Linked DNA regions of Tribolium castaneum. The protein of the gene in region 2 binds, or shares a complex with, the protein of the main gene of each other region. Links are inferred from orthologs where the notes say so. Each region holds a gene or a part of one and is shown on either strand. Other genes may lie near its edges.

Region 1 (10,197 bases), on a different chromosome or scaffold from region 2:
AGTCGCTCGGGAATGAAATAAGAAGAGAGGGACCGGTGCCCGGGGTGACGGCACGGCGATTTCGTTTAAATCAGAAAACAAGAGTCTAATTTCTGCGTGCTTTTCTTTTAATAATACAATAGGGGACTTGCACTAGATGCAATCTAATACCCAGAACTAACAATGTAGATTTTTATCGCGTATCCAGTGGGTATATGGTTTCGGGTTGGGATGCTATTATCCTCTTACGTACTTATTATACACCATCATATCGATCCCAAAGGGCGGATACCGCCGCTAATTTATTCTTACCTTAAACTAAATTAAAAGCGATTAAAGCAATTAGTCTTGGGAGGATTTTTTTTTCAATTTTCAGCAGTTTTTATAGAGTATCTGGGCAACTGGAACAAGCATTCCATTTGCAGTAAAAAGTAGGTGAAGAATGGATGATGGTGAATACTTGTTATGCAAATTACAAGGCCATTTAAACAGGAAAATTGCAGGACTAAAGCAATAAATATTTTTTCACGGAAAACATAGGGAAATTTTAATTTATTCGGCGCCGTTACCTGCACTGACAACTTGCAGCCGGCAAATCCCTCAATTTATAATAGTTTTTACGGCTTTCTGAGATTGTTGAATTTTTAACGGCTCATTAATTCAGCGAATTTGCCGAATGCAAATTTAATTTCTATCGAAAATGATCAAGTTATCACCGTTATCAAATATTAAATATTTATCCGGTTAGGCGTGGAAACACGTTTTTCAGCTAAATGTGCTTCAAAATAGCTGCCACTTGCAGAATGTTTAGTACGGGAGAGTGACATTCCGACTGGATTAAGTTTAATGAATAAATCACCTACATGGACCTACTATTCGCATTATCACTGATTAGATGTAAAATCAAATTACAAATACAGACGAAATTAAATTCCCAGAAAGATACATCCATAATTTTCTTGATTTATTCATTGTTTAATGGAGAAACCAAAAAAGAATATTACTTTATTCTTTATTAATTTCGTATACATAACTTGACTTCTAACAATTCCTTCTTTAAAAAAAGTCGTTATTTTTAAATTGACTTATTACGACCGAAATTTACGACTTTCTTACTAGCTTCTTTAATTAATTTGATTTTGGACGACTCCTGGTCTCCTGGCAAACAAACTTGAAAGCTGTAATCGACATATTTTGCCTGAAAACGGCAATTTTCGTACTAATTTCGCCTTTTTTGTCCGATTTTTTTTCAGGAAAAAAAGCTCATCAAGAGAGCTTTCAGCTGTTTAACTGAAAATATTATTTTGTTTGACAATAGTGGTTCGTTTTTAGGAGAATCAATTGTAAAATTTCTTGATTTTTGCAGAAAACAAAGCTTATCAAAAAATAAAAAAACAACTTGTATCAAAAACGTCTTCACCAACAATCACTTCCTAAGGATATTTAATGAATTGTTTTTTGTCTAAAATATTTTTACACTTGCACGTTTTTCACTTATAATATATTATGATGGTCCTTCGAACATTTACCAAAAAATCACGTGTACATAAAAAAATATATATATTATATCAAAAATTTAGCCATAAGGTTCCAATGGATATATCACAGCGTATTGGCTTTTATTGCATATTGCTAACTAAAGTTTCAACAGCTCCATAGCGGGAATATGGTTGTAATGAGGCTGTAATCAACATCAAGGTTAATAGAGCTTTCAGCTGAAATCAAGCACAGACAGCAGTATTGTTTACTGATTCCAAAATTTGGCTATAAATCTGCACAGAGATATCGCACCGTTTTGGCTTTCATGACTGATTAATAGCAAAAATTTTCACAGTTACATTGCCATAATATTGTTAAAATAAGGCTTAGGAAAGCTAAACAATGTCTCAGAAACATTTGTTTGTAGCATTTTTTTGCTGTAATCGATGTTTTCTAGCTTTATTAAATAGACCATCAGGCTTTTGCTGCTAGATGGCATACTCCTTTGAAGGTGTTAACCAGCTTAAAAATTAAAAATAATGCTGGGGTTGTAATTTGGCTGCGAGATGAGTTGAAATCGTGATTTACAGCTGACTAAAAAGCAATAACGTAATTCACAGTAAAAAAACATTCGATTCGGCTATGATGACGTTTTCTTGACTAAATTTTAGTTTCAATTGCTGTAGAAACGTTAAAATAAAGAACAATTTGTACAATTTTATTTACTGTTAAATAAATTGGAAAAAATACGTGTTGTTCATCTTATCATTTCGTTTGAACTTTCCGAGCTCGAGGGCCAGCGCTAGCTCTCGCCGGATTTCTACAATTTTCCCAACATGTGTAATAAACATAAACATAGCAATAATTAGCTGAAGAAAGCCGAAAACATCTCCAAGGAGCGCCATTTGTGCACAGATGTGCGTGAAATGCACGACACATTAATTTAGTATAACCACTCTTCCACCGCCTGTCAGATTATAGGCCTTTCGCATTAGGGGAGGACTTCGGAATCGTAAAACCTTCAAGTCCCAAACGAACAAACGAAACAATGTCAAAAAATTTCTTTGAACCTCTGTTGGATGTATCTCTACTTGGAAGTGCTTTCTTCTCCGTTCATCTGACCATTAACGAAATTGCGCTAATTCTAAACAGGAGTTATGACTTTCGTTTAATCCGCTGTCGGCTGGACTTTCAAGTTTATGTTTTTATAAGTGCTTTTAGGTTCTTGACGAATTCGGGCGTTGTAAAGGGAGGTAATGTTAACGGCCATCGGAGTTAGTTTATATGCCCTTAAATTGACTATAAAATTAAACGACTGTATTTATGCCGCACCACCCTATCCGACAGTGCAGGTAGTCGCAGGCTATCGTTGTGGTGATTGGAATTTTATTCTAATTCCGCTGATTAAGCATTCTGGGCCATAAATAAAGTGCAGTGCGAGCTGCAGCTCCTCTTTGATATGTTGCGTACAATAGGAGCCATGAATAGGGTAAATGTAGATGGGAGATAATTTTAACGATAACTTTGGAAAAATCGATGCGTGATTTAAATCGGCAACGACAGCCCGTGTTTAGAAGGAGACAGAAATCACTTCTCAATCAGATAAAGCGAAACAGACACGTAATAATGACCTGCCTTGTTCCGAACTCCTTAATTACCATTTCTTTTATCTCGCATCTCATAATAGAGTTTAAAATTCTTTTAATATTTCCTTCGGCCAGCGAGTTGTAGATTTTAATTACATGACGGATCGTAAATTTTTTCAATCTCAATCCGACTCAATTGGAAATGCGAATTTATTCTAACGAATGATAAAATCTTTGTCGTCGGCGCCCGTAATTTATATTTGTTATAATTGGGTTATTTCGCTGAATAATACCGAGGGTTCTTAAAATATAAACTAGACGCAATTTACCTGATGCCTGCAATAAACGAAGACAATGGCTAGGTAGATAACAAAGACTTCCAAAGTAGATCTGGCCTTTGTTAAAGCCTCTGCCGTAATTAATGAGTTTTCACCATCAACAATTAAATTCATTTGGGTATAAAGATTCATCATATTTTAAGTGCTCTAAGCCGTCACACAATGAACAATAATGTATGTTTTTGTAATCATTTGTTTTTAGTGGGACACTTGAAAATATAAATAATGCTTATTGTTCCAAGATTTAAAAATGGGCAACGTAATAAACCCAAATGCGTTTACAAACGTACTTTTGTGTGAAACTGCACTAATTCACGCATGAGCGACACAAATGTCGAAAGCTGTTATTATCTGAAAGACACACCGAATTATTTTGAGCTCGTGTTGCAAAATCAAACTTTTAATTTGCCCAACCGTTTTAAACGTGTAGTTATTGTGTCAGATATTCGTCTCAGTATTAATCAATAGTACAATAAATGCCGAAGTTATTATATTTGAGTCGTAAAAAATCCATTATTTCAGACAATGTTTTGCTGTAACTGTAAGGAACGCTAATGGTTATAAAAGTTCCAGTTTGGAAAGTTATTACGAAGGACGTCTGCAGATCCTTTTACAATTAGAGAATTAGATACACTAGTTGGAAATACTATCAGAAAGTTTTTCGTCGAAACGAAACTGCACTGTGGGTGGTCAAGGAGAGGTCTTTAAAGTTTACGAATGATTTGAAATTACATTATATTGTTATTACTGAGTACCTGTGTAATTAAAATAAATTAATGATTCTCCAGACTTTAAATACGTAAATGGACTGAAATTAGCTTCTAATTTTGTTGTTATCAAACAGAATTAGCATCTAATGAAACATAATGTCACAAAACAATTTATTTTTCTATTTATAAACTATGAATCACTGACCAACAAATTTCTACTTTTTTTTCTTTCAAACAATGTTATTTCTGTCAATTTGTAAATAGTTTTAATTTTTATTAAAATTTACGCTTTAGTACTTAAGAAAATTACCAAAGAAAACTTGTATTAAGAACATCAGTAGAAAGATAAAATATCACAGTATCCACAAGGGTAGATATTTTTTTTTAATTTATTTAACAATCTTTTTATCGTTTTGTATAATAAATATCTGTTAGTACTACAACCAAAAACAAAACTGGACATGGTTTAGGTTGCTTTATTTTTCTTAAAAACGATAATTTTGTGTTAGTTTTCACAACTCTGTTAAAAAACGACTCAGATCAACTGAGGAGAATTCTTAAGTTTTCCATAAGTTTCCTGGAAGAAAATTTTAATTTTTATGCAGAATTAGCTGCATAGCTAATAAACAATATTTTTGCTTTTTAAAATACTAATTACTTTATCAAATTATAAGTATAATTTATTAGTTTTTGAATGCTTGTAAAAAATAGAGAATTGAAATACGTCCTGCCATCTATGAACCAGCGGATGCACATATTGACTACAGTTTGGAGGCAAACCTATAGCTAGTAAAACAAGTGGGATAAAGAAATCTGTCAAGCCAGTCAAGTGATCCGAATCCAATGTCCCCAACCTTTAGATAACATCGAAAAACATTTTCTTATTTATTTGCGAAATAAATTGTAAGTTATTTTGCACTAATTGATCAACAGTTGTAACCATTGAGGCATTTTACTGTATCCCATAATTTTTATGTATTGTTCACCAAATTAGCTAGTCTCTTTACGTTTCCACGGGTGGCCTTCCTGCTGATTCTAGCTTTTTGTAGGTTAAATTCGCTGGAAAATTATTTCCCGGTTTAAAACAGTAATTTTCCTCAATGGCAAGTAGTTATGTAAATTAGAATGAGCAAATACTATTATTTAGACGTTTCCTTGTTAGTATATTTAATTTAGTTCACTTTCAACCACGTTTGTCCCATTTATCGCACTAATAATTGTCTTGTTCCAGGAGATTGCACGATAATACCGCCTATGAGGTAATAACAGACGCGTACTTTAAAAAACACATCGTTGATGCAGTGTCTGCGTTATTTGGAGAATCTGCAGCTTGTGTAGACATAGACGTCCTAAGATACAATCTAGCGATCAAACGCGGTATTTTAAGAGTACCCTCCGAATACTACGTGAAAATCCGCAGTAGTCTAACCCTGTGTGGTAGCTACAACAACATCAGTTGTTCCTACAAGATTCATAAGACCAGCCCCATTTTGCTGAATCTCCAGGGTGACAGTCGAGAATACGAGCACTGAAATGTCTTTCTGCCAAAGATTAGGGCCCCAGGGCAAGGATATAGTGATTTTTGCCACCCCAGAGGACCACAAGGTCCCAAGCACTGTGACTCTGCCAGAGCCTGACCCCCAGCCAGGGCTGATCCTCCCAAACGGGGACATCAACTGGAACTGCCCCTGTCTAGGGGGCATGGCAACGGGGCCCTGTGGGGTGGAGTTTAGGAACGCATTTAGTTGTTTTCACTATTCCGAGGCGGAACCTAAAGGTGGATTAGTCGGAAAAAAGTTTGCAAGTCGGCTGAATTTAATTATTTTTTAGGTAGCGATTGCTATGAATTATTTAAGACCATGCAAAATTGTATGCAAAAATATCCAACTTTGTACAACAAAGACTTAGCCGACGATGATGACTTTAGCTCGATGGATTCAGGCGACAAAAGCGCAGCGCCTAGTTCTGAAGGCGCTCCAAAGTCGGACAAAAAATCATAAGAACTTAAAGGCTAATCTAGTTTTTGTTATAGTTTAAGAAGACAATCTTTCCTAATTTGTCTAGTTTTTTCTAATTGTTACATGAATGTTACTACACAATTGTAACGTTTGAAAGTTTTTTTTTAATAAATTTGTTTTGCATTTGTTTTGTTTTGCGAATACCATGAACTGCAATTTAAGCTCTGGTCAGTGAAATTAAGTTGGCAACCCTCACCGTAGCGTTTGAATTTGATACTTTAAAGCCACAGTGTAAATTAAGTACAGAAAATATTACTTGGTTGATATAAAATGGTAAATAAACCATTGGTTATTAGACTTGATTGTTTCTGTCATTAAAAATACAGAATAACATAAAAATTTCAGGGAATTAAGTTAATTTAAAAATAGCATTGGAAAAGCAAAAAACATAATGAATAAATATTATGTTGTTATAACTGTTATATCTACGTAATCATTAGATTTTTTTCTACTTGATACCAAGTGGTGTGGAACTAATAAGTATGCGTTGAATAAAACTAAAATAATTAAAAATAAATAAAAGGTAGAGATCAGATCTACTTTAATGTCTTAAAAATATTAAAATTAGCACGAATAAAAAAAAGTAGTTGCTTTCAATCACTCAAGCTGTACAAGTGATTCTAGCATAGAATGTGCATTTTTTTAACTATATTTGTACTAATCATGTAGCAATTAATGCATTGAAGAGGTAAAGAAAGCTTAGTTAATTTTACTAATTTAGTTCGCTTTTGGATAAAATACTTCGTTTATGAACTGCATAACTCATTTTTTCTGCAAGTTTTTTTAAAACGCTTTAATAAATTACATAAATAAATTTCGACAAAAACGGGCCAGAAGCCAAAAGGTGTGGTGATCTCTACATCTTCATCTCTAAAGACTTGCGTAGTTTTTTGTAAAAGTTTGCTTAAACAAACAAAAAAACAAGTTAATTTATTTTTTTTATTTGAAACTTAATCATAGCTCGCAAAATTTCGTTAAAAACAAACTAAGAAAGTACCAAACTACATATTGAAAAAAAATTCAAAAACAGATAAAAAATCAAAAAAAAAGCACAAGGTGGTGGATACAGATGAATATAATGATTTTATGTAAATAAACCACAATCAAACAATAAAATATCAAGAATTTGTAACAGACAGTGCCACTGAAAGAATCTGAATAATTTGCATATTTGTAAAATTTATGTGTTCTGGACTACCTACATTTTTTATAATGAAGCAGAGACCATGAACTGTACAGATTATGCTGGAGATTATGAAGTAGCTGGTTTATGTGGCTCTATTAAACGAAAAACTTAAAAAATAGCATAATTTGTTAAAATGAGAGTATCATCTGTAATATAATTTGAACATTTGAAGAAAGAATTATCAGCGACGATTTTGGTGCTACATTAACATAGTTATTTAAATAAATGGGACGATAAGCAGTGCAGCTAACTCAGGATGGTTGCACCCCACCCACACGAAAGCTATAAGTACGAGAAATGTGTAAATTAACATTTAATACGAGCTTCCTCGTTCAAGCTCCAAGGTTGTATGTCAAATGCGAAAGGAAAATTCAAAGCTCCCGCTGTCTATTAGTTGCCAGTTGCGCCAACAGCTGTCGGGAAATGCAGTTCATGTTGTGGAACGAACGTCACAAACAGAAAGTTAATGTTCTCTACAGAAATTGTTATTAGTGTTGTTTTGAGTGTGTTTTGAATAAAGATTTGAGACGTTAGTGTCCTTCCTTAGCAGTGACTAAGAAGAACACGCGTATTATGGAGAGTAAAGGGAAAACAGCACCGAAAGATAAACGCAGGTTAGTGAAAATACAATAGACCAACCTCTTCCTGGAGTTTTCGGGGGTAATGAGCCAATTACTCTTCAATTAAATCGTTGTTTATCAAAGTTTAGAGCTGCTAGAGCCGATGGCATCGGCCTAGTGCCGTTGTCAGAGGCACATTTCGCCTGAAAATTTTCTCACTGCAAGAACCCATGCAACCTACTTTCCCCCAAGTCTCCACAAAATTTATTATTAGTATCATTCCGGAGTCCTGGTACCTGTGGACCTGTCCCAAGAATAAGTCGGGTTTTAGCACTAATTAGGCTCCATCTCGACGCTGAAAACACATTGGGTAATCCAGTGGATTGGGCAATTTCAAGTTCTTAGAACAAACTGGTTCCCTTCAGCGAATTAATTATGAATTATGGGGTCCTGAACATTTCATATTGTCATGCCATACTGAGTAAATGCAGTTTCATCGTAATCGGATGATAACATATCAAATTTTGGTGACTTCCCTGGTACATTTCCATTGCCTGCGGAAATTGGGCTCTAGCACCTCAGACAATTATTTTTATTAACTCCAGCTTTCATAACGTAAAGAATTGTTCTTTTGTTTGACCATAAAAATTGAATTGCACCAATTTTATGCTCAATGTAATCAGAAATAGGTAGATAAGAAATGATGCGTCATTGAAATACTTTTCAATTTTTGAATTCGTTGCAATTTGTTTTTTTTAATATTGGGGTCATTGCCACTTTTTAATTTGGCGTTAGTTACAGTTGTGCTCTATTAGTTTCTAAGAATTTTGTTATCAACAATGAATGACATTAAATGTTAAATTCCTAAATTCCTAATTAATATCTTTGAGGATCATTTAAATTTGCACAATGTTAAGCTAGAAAAAACGGTCTAAAAAATTAGTTCGTTTTGAATAATGATAATATTCGCCAAAACTTACTTTGCATAGTTTGCACTTGGCCAAAAAGAAGTTTAAAATATTTGCATGTGTTCTAAAGTTAGTGAAGGATATTTTGAATTCAATACAGGATTTTCGTAAACATGCTCATATTGTTTATGAAAGAAAAATGGATTAAAATTTTAGGTCCGACTGACTGAGAAAATCAAAATGATTTGTATGTTTTTTGCCAGAAAAAATCAAAACGGAAGTATGACAATTACCAAATTACAAGTGTTTGTTTCTTGCTTTATAGCTAGTTTTTTCTTACATCCATTTTCTCAATTGGTTTTGTAACCAAAAATGTTTGTCCAAGTTTAGAAATAGGAAGGATAAAACGTTTAATTTGTAAACTGTTGTGGGCTTTAGTGATACTCGTTAAGATTTATTTTCATTTAAATTGATGTGGAAAGTCGTCTCTAATACTCGTAAATCAAGATTAGAAAAGGTATCTTATTCATTCACCCCTGACAAAGAGACGCTATCATTCTCACAACCTTGAGTTGCTCAAAGACATTTTGGTGGTCACATGAACTTAAAATTCATTTTTACAGTAAATTAAAAAAATTGAAAATGGTTTATCTTGCACTTACTCGTTGGACTGTAAATTGTCTTTTGAGATTACATTCAGGTAATAACTTTTATTTGCTTTGTCAACAAAACCGTAAAATTTATTAGTACAGTCTCCGTGCCCAAATTAGACTAAGCAAATAATTTTGTTGTTTCTCTTGCGTAACATTTTTCATTTGGCTTAACTTTGATCAATTTCTGCTTGTTGGCGATACAGTTCATTTGTCGCCCATTTCATGTTCCCCTTCAATTATGAGCAGGTTCAAGGTTCGAATTAAGATTAAAGGGAACAATGCACTTGTATGAAAAATTCGACATTGACTCTAGTTTGGGGGCAAAGCAATTTGGAGAGAATTAAAATATGTATCCTGTTAATTTGTAAAGTGAAAAGAATTTAATTGAGTCATAAAATGTGTACTTTCAGACTGATTGATAAAGGTTCAGAAAAAAGCAGCTTCGCCACATGTATGTACTTTTCCATACTTCTATGAAACCGAAGTGTCAAAGAATTAATTAATTAACATCAAAATTGCTCAACATGATATTGTTGCGAAACTGATAAGTTTGACTGAAGACTCATCAATTTTGCATGAGTTTCGAATTAAAAAGTTATTTTGTTGTTATTTTTCTGATCGTTGACATTGTTTGTTGCACGATTTTTTCTTGATAAAGGAATTTTTGTAATAATGAGTATTTTTCTTTTGCTGTTATAAAATTATTAATATAGTACGTGTTCAGAGAGCGGATTTTATTGATACCCTGACACATATAATTTATTTTCGAGAAAGTGATTC
Region 2 (11,192 bases):
GAAAACACCATTAGTTTTAGACACTTGTGGAGATTTTCCACGTGCATGAGTTTCTTCCACACTACGACGTTATAACCGAACTGGGAGAAACTTTTTGTACTAACAGTTCTGACTACAAAGACGCTTGCTACTGGATCCTGAATATAATCGCAGGATTTGACTGGGAAGTGGACCCTGTAAATCTGTCTAATATTGCGTCCAGGTGTTAAAACTAGATTTCAGGACTTCCTTCCTGTGATAATATCAAACGCTCCTGCTGGGTCCTGCATTAAGCAACTCCTGCACTACTTCCAGGAGATAAAGTCTTTTAATTTCTCGCAGTATGATTACGGAGTGGAGGGAAATAAAGCTCGCTACGGGCAAGAAACCCCGCCTTTGTACGATACGACAAAAATTACAGCCCCTGTGATTCTACACTACGCCAGTAACGACTGGCTTGCAGCTCTCGAAGATGTGGACAGGTTAAAAAGCGAGCTACCGAACTTGCTCGGTGCCAAATTGGTGCCTTTTGACCGCTTCAACCACCTCGACTTTCTGTGGGCCAAAGATGTTGTTCAATATTTAAACAACGATGTACTTGACGAAATAAAGTCTAATTGATATGTTGTGGCTTATTGTTTGCTTATATAACAAGGAAACAGACATGAAAATAACAAATTTGCAATCAAGGTCAATAGGCCACATTTTTCCTCTATCTAATCGTCCCAAGTCTTCTGCATTATTTATTAACGCATTCACAACACCGAAGATGTTCAATAAAGATATTTTCGGTCTAGTGGTGGTTGTTATCAGTTCCATCATTCTGGTCGAGATTTTCAACACGACCAAACCCAAACATCCAGACGCTGGATTAAATATTGTAAGTCCGCTTTTCACAAAACTTGCTTTTATCGCAAAACTTTAGTTGCAACTTGTGGAAAAATACGGCTACCTTATCGAAACCCACGAAGTGGTCACCGAGGACGGCTATATTTTAACACTGCACCGAATTGGGCAAAAGAACAATGTTGCAAAACGCGATCCCGTGCTTTTTATGCACGGTTTCATGCAAAGTGCCACCGATTTCGTTAATTTGGGCCCCGGCAAAGCGCTGAGTTTGCTGCTTTCAGACCGAGGCTACGATATTTGGTTGGGGAACGCAAGGGGGTCCACTTGGTCCAGGAAACACAAACGCTTTAATCCCGACAAAGACGCCGAATTTTGGGATTTCAGGTAATCACATTTAGAAATTTCTATAACCGTGAGCTGTGTTTCTAGTTTACATGAAATCGGGGTTTACGACATTCCTGCCTTCATCGACCACATTTTGGAAGTTACGGGACGTGAATCCATACAATACGTTGGTTATTCTCAAGGTACTACAACCTTCTTCATGTTGGGATCAGAAAAACCGGAATACGTGCAAAAAGTTAAGTTAATGACGGCTTTGGCGCCCGCAATTTATTTGAAAAATCCAAAAGGCCCGCTTTTGAAATTTCTTGTATATTTTAGGCGTCTCTGGGAGGTAAATAAAGCAATTCTGGGTTTTAAAAACGTAACTATAATATTTTGTAGTTCCTACTGAAATTTTTCAACTTTCAAGAGTTCTTCCCGAGAGACGGACTAGTGGCGTATTATTTGAACCACATTTGTAACGAAAATTCAGTGTTTGTGGATTTGTGCTTACACCACATTTTCCTGCTTCATGGCTACAGCCACGAACAGACAAATAAGGTAAAATTTCCAAAATTCTAAACTCTTCTATATAATATTTTCAGACACTTCTCTCCCTCATATTCTCTAACACTCCTGCTGGAGTTTCGCCGAAGCAAATGATGCACATTGTGCAACTAATGGAGTCTGGTAATTTCCACCAATATGATTTAGGGGTCACCGAAAATTTGAAAAAATACGGACGAAAGGAACCTCCACATTACGATTTATCGAAAACCACGAATCCGGTCGCTTTATACTATTCGAGTAATGACTGGACTGTAAACACGGAGGTGAGTTTTGCGTTGTTTTACGTTTAAAATTAATATTTTTATTTTTAGAACATTGAGAGAGTGGTCAAAACCTTGCCGAATGTCGTTAAAAGTTATCATGTGCCTTTGGAAAGTTTTAATCACAACGACTTCATGCACGGTCGAAATGCCCCTGAACTTCTGTATAGAGCAATTATAGAAGAAATCTCAAAATATTAGCCAAATAATAAACACTGATTAAATAGTTAACTATTTTTCCATTTGGTTCGCTTTTTGCTAAACTCTTATTGTTATTATAGCCAATTTTACACACGTATTTATGTATTTATATTAAATGAAGGAAAATAAACAAGTTTTTATTTCAAAACATCACCGTCTTTGATAATCTTTGCTAATAAAATCTTAATATTCTATATCTGTCTCCACTATCTCCTGTTGCCAATTTTTTGTTTTGTTTGGAATTTTCCATCAGATTAGGTAAGTTTGATTCCCGTTTATTTCAACAACATTACATTCAGTTTTTATGAAAATCATGACTACGTGTGTGAAACCCATGTTCCTTGTGGAAATAACTTCACGGGGAGCAAATAAATATGTAAAAATAGACGCGTTCTTTATTTTATTAATCATAGTTTTATCTGAGGTATTGACAGCTCCTATTGTTATTAAATTCCATCTTTAAAATATTTTGTTGAATCATTTACCAACAGGTGTTATCAAGCATAAGTGCCAAAAATGACCATTATTTACAAATAAATATATCTGTAATCTCTGATGATCAGAGATATATCTTAACAGTTCAAAGTGTGCAATTGTGATCAGAAATCAGATGCATAAAAGAAAAAATAAATCGATAAAGTTCCATTGTAGATGTTATAAATTCGTTTAGTGGTCCTAATCCTCTCATCAGTGATCCGCAATGGCTATCCAAACCAAACTGGTAATCATTTTCCTCCTCTCAAGTCTCCTCTATGGACGTGAAGTGTCCGCAGACTCGGACGTGGGTTTGAACACAGTAAGTGCTTTCCTTTCAAATAAAAAATTTGACTTAACTCCTTTACGAAAGGTTGAAATGATAGAAAAGCATGGCTACGTGTGTGAAACCCACTACATAACAACCGAAGATGGTTACATCTTAACATACCACAGAATACCACATGGTAAAAACAACGATAATTCGACCAAAAGACCGGCCGTTTTGCTCATGCATGGTCTCATATCGTCTTCGGCCGATTACGTAAATATGGGTCCGAACAATAGTCTCGCCTATATTTTGGCCGACATCGGATATGATGTATGGCTTGGTAATGCTAGAGGGAACGGATGGTCGCGAAATCACACAACTCTGGATATAGTAGCAGATGCTGAGAAGTTTTTCGATTTCAGTTGGCATGAAATCGGGTATTACGACCTGCCCGCTGCTATAGATTACATCTTGGATGTAAACGGTGACGATAGTATTTATTATGTAGGACACTCTCAAGGTACAACTGCCTTCATGGTCTTGGGGTCCACTAGGCCAGAATATAACAGCAAAATCAAAATTGCCTCACTTATGGGGCCTGCCTCGTATATGGAGCATCAGTCCACTACGCTTTTAGTAGGTCTTTCAAAATATATCTTTGAGTTGGAGAAAGTAGTAAAGAAATACACAATATTTGAAATACCGCTTCTGGCACAACTACGAAAGTTTGCGTCTGATTTTTGCTCAAATCCCGACAGTCTCAACATCTGCGAAGATGTTATCGGTCTCATAGGTGGACAAGATAAACCGCAATTTGACTTCGTATGTTATAAGCAGTGGTTATTTAATTTTTCCAATTTTATTTTCTAGGAAAAATTCCCTGTAATTCTTACAAATGCACCCTCAAACGCAGCCATGAAACAGCTTTATCACTATGGCCAACTTATCAAAAATGGTAAAAGGCCCTTTTGGATTTTTAATTGAATTCTAATCCAAATTATTTAGGTGGATTTTCGCAGTTTGATTTTGGCAGTAAAGAAAAAAACAAGGAAATTTATGGAACCGATACACCCCCGGCCTATGATTTGTCGAAAATTTCAGCACCTGTGGCTGTTTATTATGGAAAAAATGACCAGCTGGTGAACTACTTGGTAATTCTCGAATTCATTATTGACTACACTTTAAGTTGGAAATATTTCAGGATGCGCAAACTGTAGTAAAGAATCTTGGAAATGTAGCTAATGATTATTTCATACCGTACGACCTATTCGATCACTTGGACTTCATTTTTGCAAAGGATGTTGTAAATATGCTCTATGTAGAGCTAATTAAAGTTATGCAAAAGTACTGAATAAATTTTTACATAGGATCGCTTATGTGTTTTTTTCTTCCTCACATGAATACACTTAAAATTTAGTGAGCAAAAACGGTGAATACATAAAAATTACCGATCTATTTCAACCAGTAATATCTAATCCAAAGCAAACCAAAAAATTAAAATTGTTCGAAATAATTTTTAAAAAAAAATAACAATACGGATGTGTTGTGTAGACAACCAGTTATACAATCAAAAATTAGTTTTTTGTGGCAAATAAAACATAATATTCATATCAACTTGAACATTTTCCACACAGTTCATCAAAAACTGTGTAACTGACTCATGTGCCTTTTAATCTTTTTATTTACCGTTTCGTGAATTCTTGGACGAGTTTGAGGTTATGTTTTCCCTGATGAAAAACGTGAGCTCAAAAATTCGGCAAAAAGTGTTAGTGTTGGTTCTAATCCTCTAATAATTGTTGCAAAACGACTACGGGACCTCACAGTTACAGTATTTCTCATCAAGACTGAAAAATTTCACATAATAGTGTCATTTTTACTTTTGTCATTTATCATTCAGCTCAGCAATGCTTTTCAATTAAATTCTCCCAACTTCCACCTCGACGCATTTAAGAAATGTTCCGGATTAACCATCTCTTGCAACTAAAGAACGTAACAATCAAAATCCTCCAGAGATCCCCAGTTGAGGCCTCCCGATGTCTAGGTGAGCTGAGCCACCTTCAGGTGGGTCCAGACTTGAATTCCGATATTTCCAGCCCTTCAGCGGGTCCAGTTTACCCACCCGACACGGTTCTATTCAAAAAGTAGCGACGATGGGAACAAAAAGGTACAAGATGGTAAAAACAAAGCTTGTGAAGAGAAAAAAACCCAAAAACGCCCTAAACTGGTCTTGAAAGAGTGTAAACCTGTTGATATCCATCCTTGCACCCCGCCCCCACCTCCTCCACCATCGGTACCTCCTTAATATTTTGTTAGACACACTTAATGAAAAATTTGCAGAAACTGCCCCACATTAATCCAGAGGATTGTCCAGTCAAACCCACTCTGGAAAGCGAATGTCCACAAGCTAAACAGGAGCCCCCGCCAGAGTGCCCGCATGACGAGGGAAGCAAGTGGGATAATTACAAAAATGCCGCCCTTGTGGGGCTTCTAATAGCAGCAGCGACGCTAGGAGCTGTATGTAGAATTTTTCTATTAAACAAAAACCTAAAACGGTTTGCGTGGGCGTCATCAAGTCAAAAGATTATCCAAAACTATGCAAATTGAAACAGTCAATGGAAGTCTAGAACGTTAATTTACAGATTATACTTCAGCTGTATCGTTTTTTATTTTTTTTTTTCGTTCTTTTTGGTTTTCTGTTTTTTTTATAATTCCTTATCACAGCACTGTCCAACTTTTCTTACGAATCATAATTTTTTCTTTCGCGAAATTTTTTGAAGTAAGCCAGAATCCGCTAAAATTGGATAAGAAGGTAAGTACCTCATATGCACTAAATAAACAAAAAATTTACAACTATGGGTGTGTAAATAATTTGGCTAGTTTTGACAACATCTCTTGAAAAAATGGTTTTGCGGCGCAAAATAATCGTAAGAGTAAGAGAAGAGTAAATCTTCTCTACAGTAAAGCCAATTTTTTATTAAAAACATCACTTACAAGTTATGAATTACGTAAAATCAGGGTAAAGAAAAAAGTATTAGTATTAACATTAGTTTAGGCCCTAAAGGCTCCCAAACCGTAGTCCGACCCTGTGCATCTTTTCCTTTTGTCGTCCTCAATTTACTCAGATAAATAAAACTCGGCTTTATTGCATTTTCAGGGTTAGCATAATTGTATGTTGTATTCATTTGAAACAGAACTAAACTGACTTAACATAAGAAAAATAACTAACCTTAACCTCCATCGTGTCGTTTTCAAAAGCTGCGTAATCCGTTTGGCTGCGAGCTGCACATTTTCGATAAAAAATCAGTTATTTGTGCATTAAACACGCGAAAAAACAACCCGTAAAAATTATAAAACAAGTTTTTCACCCACTACACTAACGTATGATGTCAAGTCAAAGACATTTCATTGGTTAATTTTTCAAGGACTCGACTGTCAATAAGTAAAACACCCTATGTTTTGTGCATTTTTGGATATATGTGGTTGTTAATCATAATGTTTTTTTACTAGTAGTTTTTGCTAAGTTTTTGAAATAATTGAATCTCATAGGCAAAAACATTATTTTCAGAAATATCAAACAAAAACTACAACATAAAATACAAGGAATGTTTGTTTACCTACTCTTGTTTAAGTAAGTTTAATAAGTAATCCAAATTTCTGGACGTAAAAAAGAACTTCTAAACATAAAATACATCTTCCTTGTTCTACATTTTAAAAATCTTCGTACAATATTTTATTAATAATGATTTATTTGTTAATTTATTAATAAATGTGTATTAAAAAGACTTGTAATGTTGTTATTTGAAAAATGACGCACACGCAAAGCGTCCCGAAATGGCCTATAATTTTATTTTCACACTGAACCTTTAGCTGTATTACGTTGGATACTTTGAAGATAAAAGCAAACCGAAAAAAATAGTGGCGGCAAAGAAAAAGAAAACTAAGAGAGCACCTGTTAAAGACCCTCTACATTCAAAAGAGATCCCAAATCAAGTTCCTTATTTACTGATCGGGGGCGGAACTGCGTCATTTGCAGCCTTCCGTGCAATCAAATCAGCTGATCCAACCGCAAAAGTAATTTTTTTAACCACCCAAACACTATACTAACAATCGATCAGGTTTTAGTTGTGACAAATGAATCGTTTCACCCTTACATGCGTCCCCCGTTATCGAAAGAAATGTGGTTCAATGAGGACGAAGAATCAGTCAAGAAGCTCATTTTTAAACAGTGGAACGGATCGGAACGAAAGTAATTTTTCTCACAGCCAACAACAAAACAACAATAACGATTTTTCCAGCCTTTACTACGAGCCTGAAGACTTTTATATCAAGTGTCAAGACTTGCTAAAGAACGAAAATGGGGGCGTAGCCGTAGCTCGAGGCTACAAAGTAACCCGTCTTGACGTCGTCAACCGAATTGCTTATCTCGAAGACGGCTACGCCATTGAATACAACAAGTGCCTCATCGCCACAGGTGCTACCCCAAAAATGCTCAACGTGTTCGAGGCAGCTTGTGCCGACCCCCAAATCGACGAAAAAGTCAAAGTGTTCCGCAACATCTACGACTTTGAGGAGGTCTACGATGCTTTCGAGGAGTCAAAATCCATCGCAATAATTGGTGGTGGGTTCCTTGGCAGCGAACTAGCTTGCGCTTTAGCTCGCAAAGGTAAGAGAAAAAAGAAAACGGTGTACCAAGTTTTCCGCGAGCATGGCAACATGGGGAAAATCCTCCCCGAATACCTCAGTTCTTGGACCACTAATAAAGTCAAAGCTGAGGGTGTTAACGTCGTGAACAACAACGAAGTCATCGGAGTGAAGCACGAGGACGGCAAGCTCGTCCTAATTTTAAGCGATGGCAAAATGATAAGAGTTGATAATGTAATTCTGGCCGTTGGTGTGGAACCGAACACCGAGCTGGCGCAGAAATCCGGTTTGGAAGTTGATCCGGAGCTCGGAGGGTTTTTGGTTAATACGGAGCTGATGGCTCGGTCTAATTTGTACATTGCGGGCGATTGCGCGTGTTTTTACGATGTCAAGTTGGGCCGTCGACGCGTGGAGCACCATGACCATGCGGTGGTCACTGGCCGCCTAGCTGGGGAGAATATGACCGGTGGGATTAAGCCCTACCTCCACCAAAGCATGTTTTGGTCGGATTTGGGGCCGGATGTTGGGTATGAAGCGATAGGAATTGTCGATTCGTCGCTTCCCACTGTTGGGGTTTTTGCCAAAGCTTCGGATAAAGATACGCCCAAGGCTGTAGTTACGGAGACCGGGGAAGGGATCAGGTCGAAGATGGAAGCACAAGAGCAGAAGACTGGGGCCGAGACTGAGCACAAGGAGGAGAAGAAGGACAAGAAGGAGGATTACGGCAAAGGGGTTATTTTTTATCTGAGGGATGATGTGGTTGTAGGAATTGTACTGTGGAATGTGTTTAATCGAATGTCGATTGCCAGACAGGTTCTCAAGGATGAGAGGAAATATGACGATCTGAATGAAGTAGCGAAGCTGTTTAACATTCACGAAGACTAACATTCCGGCATTCGGCGATTAATTTTAATTTGATAAGAAGTTTAGATCGATTTGAGTTTGTTCAAATGTATATAGAAAGGATAAAAATACACATTTTTGTCAAAACTTCTGCTTTATTATAATTTATGCGTGTTGCGGTAACATTTCGTAAGTTTCTCGATTAGGGGCATGTGGTCGCTTAAACGAAACTCGCTCATGTCGCACATCTGAAAATTAATATTGGGTTAAAAAAACAATTATTTCGGCAAATACCTCAAGTATTTCTTGGAGCTCAGGTGAATGTGTGATTGTACAAATCCGGTCGTCCAAATGTCGGAAAATAGCAACAAAATAATACATAAGACACTCAATAGGATACAAAACTGAGAATGCTAAGAAATTACAGATTTCTTCAAAACGAAGGAAATTAAAGAAGCACTGGTTGAGCCATGACTGGAGCAGGATTTCAGGACAAATACCTAAAACCTGAACTTTCATTAGTGATTTCTAATGAATTTTACCTTTGGAGGTGACTTAAATTAAATTTTATTTAATACTTTCAGTAACGTTCGTTCAATATAGCCCTATAGCGCATAAGTAACAATTCGAATAAAACAGACAAAAACAGTTATCACATATTATCTAAGTGACTAATTGCTGCAAAGGGCAAACAAAAGGAATTACATAAAGTATTAATAGGTAATGACTAGTTAATTAACAGAAAATCACATATTCTCCGCAAAATCTGATTTATATTTCTGAAAACAGTAATATTAATTTGGAATATAATATCTTCGTAATAAGATGAAAAATAAGGTGTTGTAGAGAATAAATTTTTTTTGAAAAAATTTTATTAACGCTACTCCGCCACTATTGTTTTTTTTGGATACAGAGTGATTTTGAATCTCATTTTAAATTCCAATAATTGTACCTTCAAGGCTTGGTAGCCAGAGCAGTTCTCTTCCAAAACAACTGCAAAATGTTGGTGGAAGCTCTCTTGTAACAAATAATCAAACTCTTTGCCAAAAGTGGCCCAAATAAGCGACGTCACTTGCGTGTTTGTAAAATTAATCAAAATGGATTTGCACTTATGTAAATCTCCCGAACACGTCAGAAAAATGAATCCGACAAACCAATCGAAATTGGTGAAATTTTCCGGTTGGTAACCAATAAAAGCCCGTGATTGTTTTATCAGAAAAATAAGATTTTCGGAGTATTCATTAGGTGGTTTAAGTAAGCCAGTTTTGAGTCCATAACTGGAAAAATTTGTTGTGAAAATAATCACAACGGAGGTAAATGTTACTCGATTATTAAGGAAACGCCAGAAAAGTCTTCGGGGTGCAACTGGTAGTAGACGGAATCTGAAGGGGGCCATTGTAGCTCGATTTTTCTGTAAACGTAAGTTTTGGGAATTTTTTCCAATAAAATTTCCAAGATAGAAGGCTGGAAAATGAGTTTATTAGCTTTCGTGTTGTGTGTGTTTATTAATTACATCAAAAAGATGCAATGAGTTTTTGAAGGCTTTTCTCGCCTGCGACAACCAGCTGAAATTTCCAGTTGTGTCCTCATCCAAAAACACCCGAAATTCATTTTCCCCACTTTTTCCTTGCTCTAGAATTTCGTAAACGGGAGGTGTATCTCCAGACTTATTGACAAACCCTACGTGTGACAACGAAACTAAAATATTATCTCTTAAACAGCTTTGTGCATCGATAATGTCGCTGCATCTGGCAGCTTCCTCCAATTTTTTCTGAAAACTCGTAAAAGTGAAAGTCGGATCAAAGTTTCACACTCACTTGCATTTGATAATTAGTTTGCAAGTAGAGCAACAGATCTAAATTTGTAATGAATACTTTCATTGTTAACAATCCCAAATACTCTTCATTTGGCTCAACGGACTCGCTTAGGCTTTTCTCTATTAGTTCGGACAGGGTAACACTTTTATCCTCACTTTCGACCACAGTGTCGCCGTCATCGTCAGCTAACAACGCGACAGCACTTCGTGCGTTTAATTTAACAACGAAAAGAAATAACACGAATTTAGTACTCGAGTTTGAGTTAACAGTTTCGTCCGAAATCAAAATTTCTTCAAGGTAAGGTTGAACGATTTGTCTGTGGCGCTTGTTCAAAAACTCAAAACCCAGTTTGTCACTCCCCAGTCGAGTTATAACACTTTTTAAATTCTCAACCGGGACGTTCGCAAACAAATCCGTGTAAATTTCAGAATTCCAATCAAAAATCCTAATTGTGCGCCCAAAGTTTGCACAAAAAAAATTAAACAGAGGAAGAAAAGTATTGTGAGTTTTGCGATTTGTTTGATAAAATTCGTTCATACTCTGAAGCAATTTGGCGGGATTTCCGTGGAGGAGGGCTAAGGGGTGGTTCTCGTAAAGGCAGAGACAACAGTGCAATAAAATTTCAAGACTGCCCAAGTCCTGATTTAATTCATTCGTGTTTACGTTCGTTTTGAGGAGCAATACAGCCAAATCGGTGATTTTTTGAGGAACATTTGTGACGTTTCGGACCACTTGTCGCGCTCTAGCTTTACGTAAAGTACCAGAAACGCCGAACAAAACCCGGTGATTCCCCGATTTTGTGACGTTATTAATTATGGCAAAAACAAATTTATTTGTTTCGACCAAATTTCGGATATTGTTTCGGTTCGTGTTATTTAAGGGCGCAACCAAGGCATCTAACAATTGGGGGGTGAGAATTGAAGGGTTGTGTGTGAATAAATCAATAAAGAGATCCGTCAGTTC

What was found.
Region 1: the proteins of AIF (region 2) and mitochondrial intermembrane space import and assembly protein 40 are in contact, whole or in part, in a cryo-EM structure (PDB 9GQZ), measured with the Homo sapiens proteins. The link is inferred for Tribolium castaneum from reciprocal best matches to the Homo sapiens genes AIFM1 and CHCHD4. Residues at the interface, in NP_004199.1 of Homo sapiens: Pro345, Tyr347, Ser500, Ser501, Leu502, Pro503, Thr504, Val505, Gly506, Val507, Phe508, Ala509, Lys510, Glu558, Asp559, Tyr560, Asn602, Ala605, Lys606, Phe608, Asn609, Ile610, His611; in NP_001091972.1 of Homo sapiens: Arg5, Glu7, Lys9, Asp10, Arg11, Ile12, Ile13, Phe14, Val15, Thr16, Lys17, His20, Thr22, Pro23.

Annotation. Positions count from the first base shown.
Region 1 is NC_087396.1:19,225,226-19,235,422, reverse strand, and holds mitochondrial intermembrane space import and assembly protein 40, read left to right. Parts: upstream 1-4,895; 5' UTR 4,896-4,995; intron 4,996-5,063; exon of another isoform or gene 5,064-5,195; intron 5,196-5,323; 5' UTR 5,324-5,625; coding exon 5,626-5,869; intron 5,870-5,922; coding exon 5,923-6,092; 3' UTR 6,093-6,235; downstream 6,236-10,197.
Region 2 is NC_087402.1:8,003,419-8,014,610, reverse strand, and holds AIF (apoptosis-inducing factor 1, mitochondrial), read left to right. Parts: upstream 1-4,499; 5' UTR 4,500-4,881; coding exon 4,882-4,969; intron 4,970-5,021; coding exon 5,022-5,218; intron 5,219-5,265; coding exon 5,266-5,442; intron 5,443-6,795; coding exon 6,796-6,999; intron 7,000-7,043; coding exon 7,044-7,174; intron 7,175-7,223; coding exon 7,224-8,454; 3' UTR 8,455-8,559; downstream 8,560-11,192. Other genes in the region: lipase 3, read left to right, coding at 21-176, 223-600; lipase 3, read left to right, coding at 749-859, 905-1,212, 1,258-1,504, 1,555-1,713, 1,758-1,985, 2,034-2,183; lipase 1, read left to right, coding at 2,884-2,979, 3,031-3,750, 3,799-3,883, 3,934-4,079, 4,130-4,279; uncharacterized protein LOC103312777, read right to left, coding at 8,571-8,660, 8,707-8,919, 9,365-9,689, 9,737-9,876, 9,926-10,183, 10,230-11,192. UniProt on the Homo sapiens protein: Functions both as NADH oxidoreductase and as regulator of apoptosis.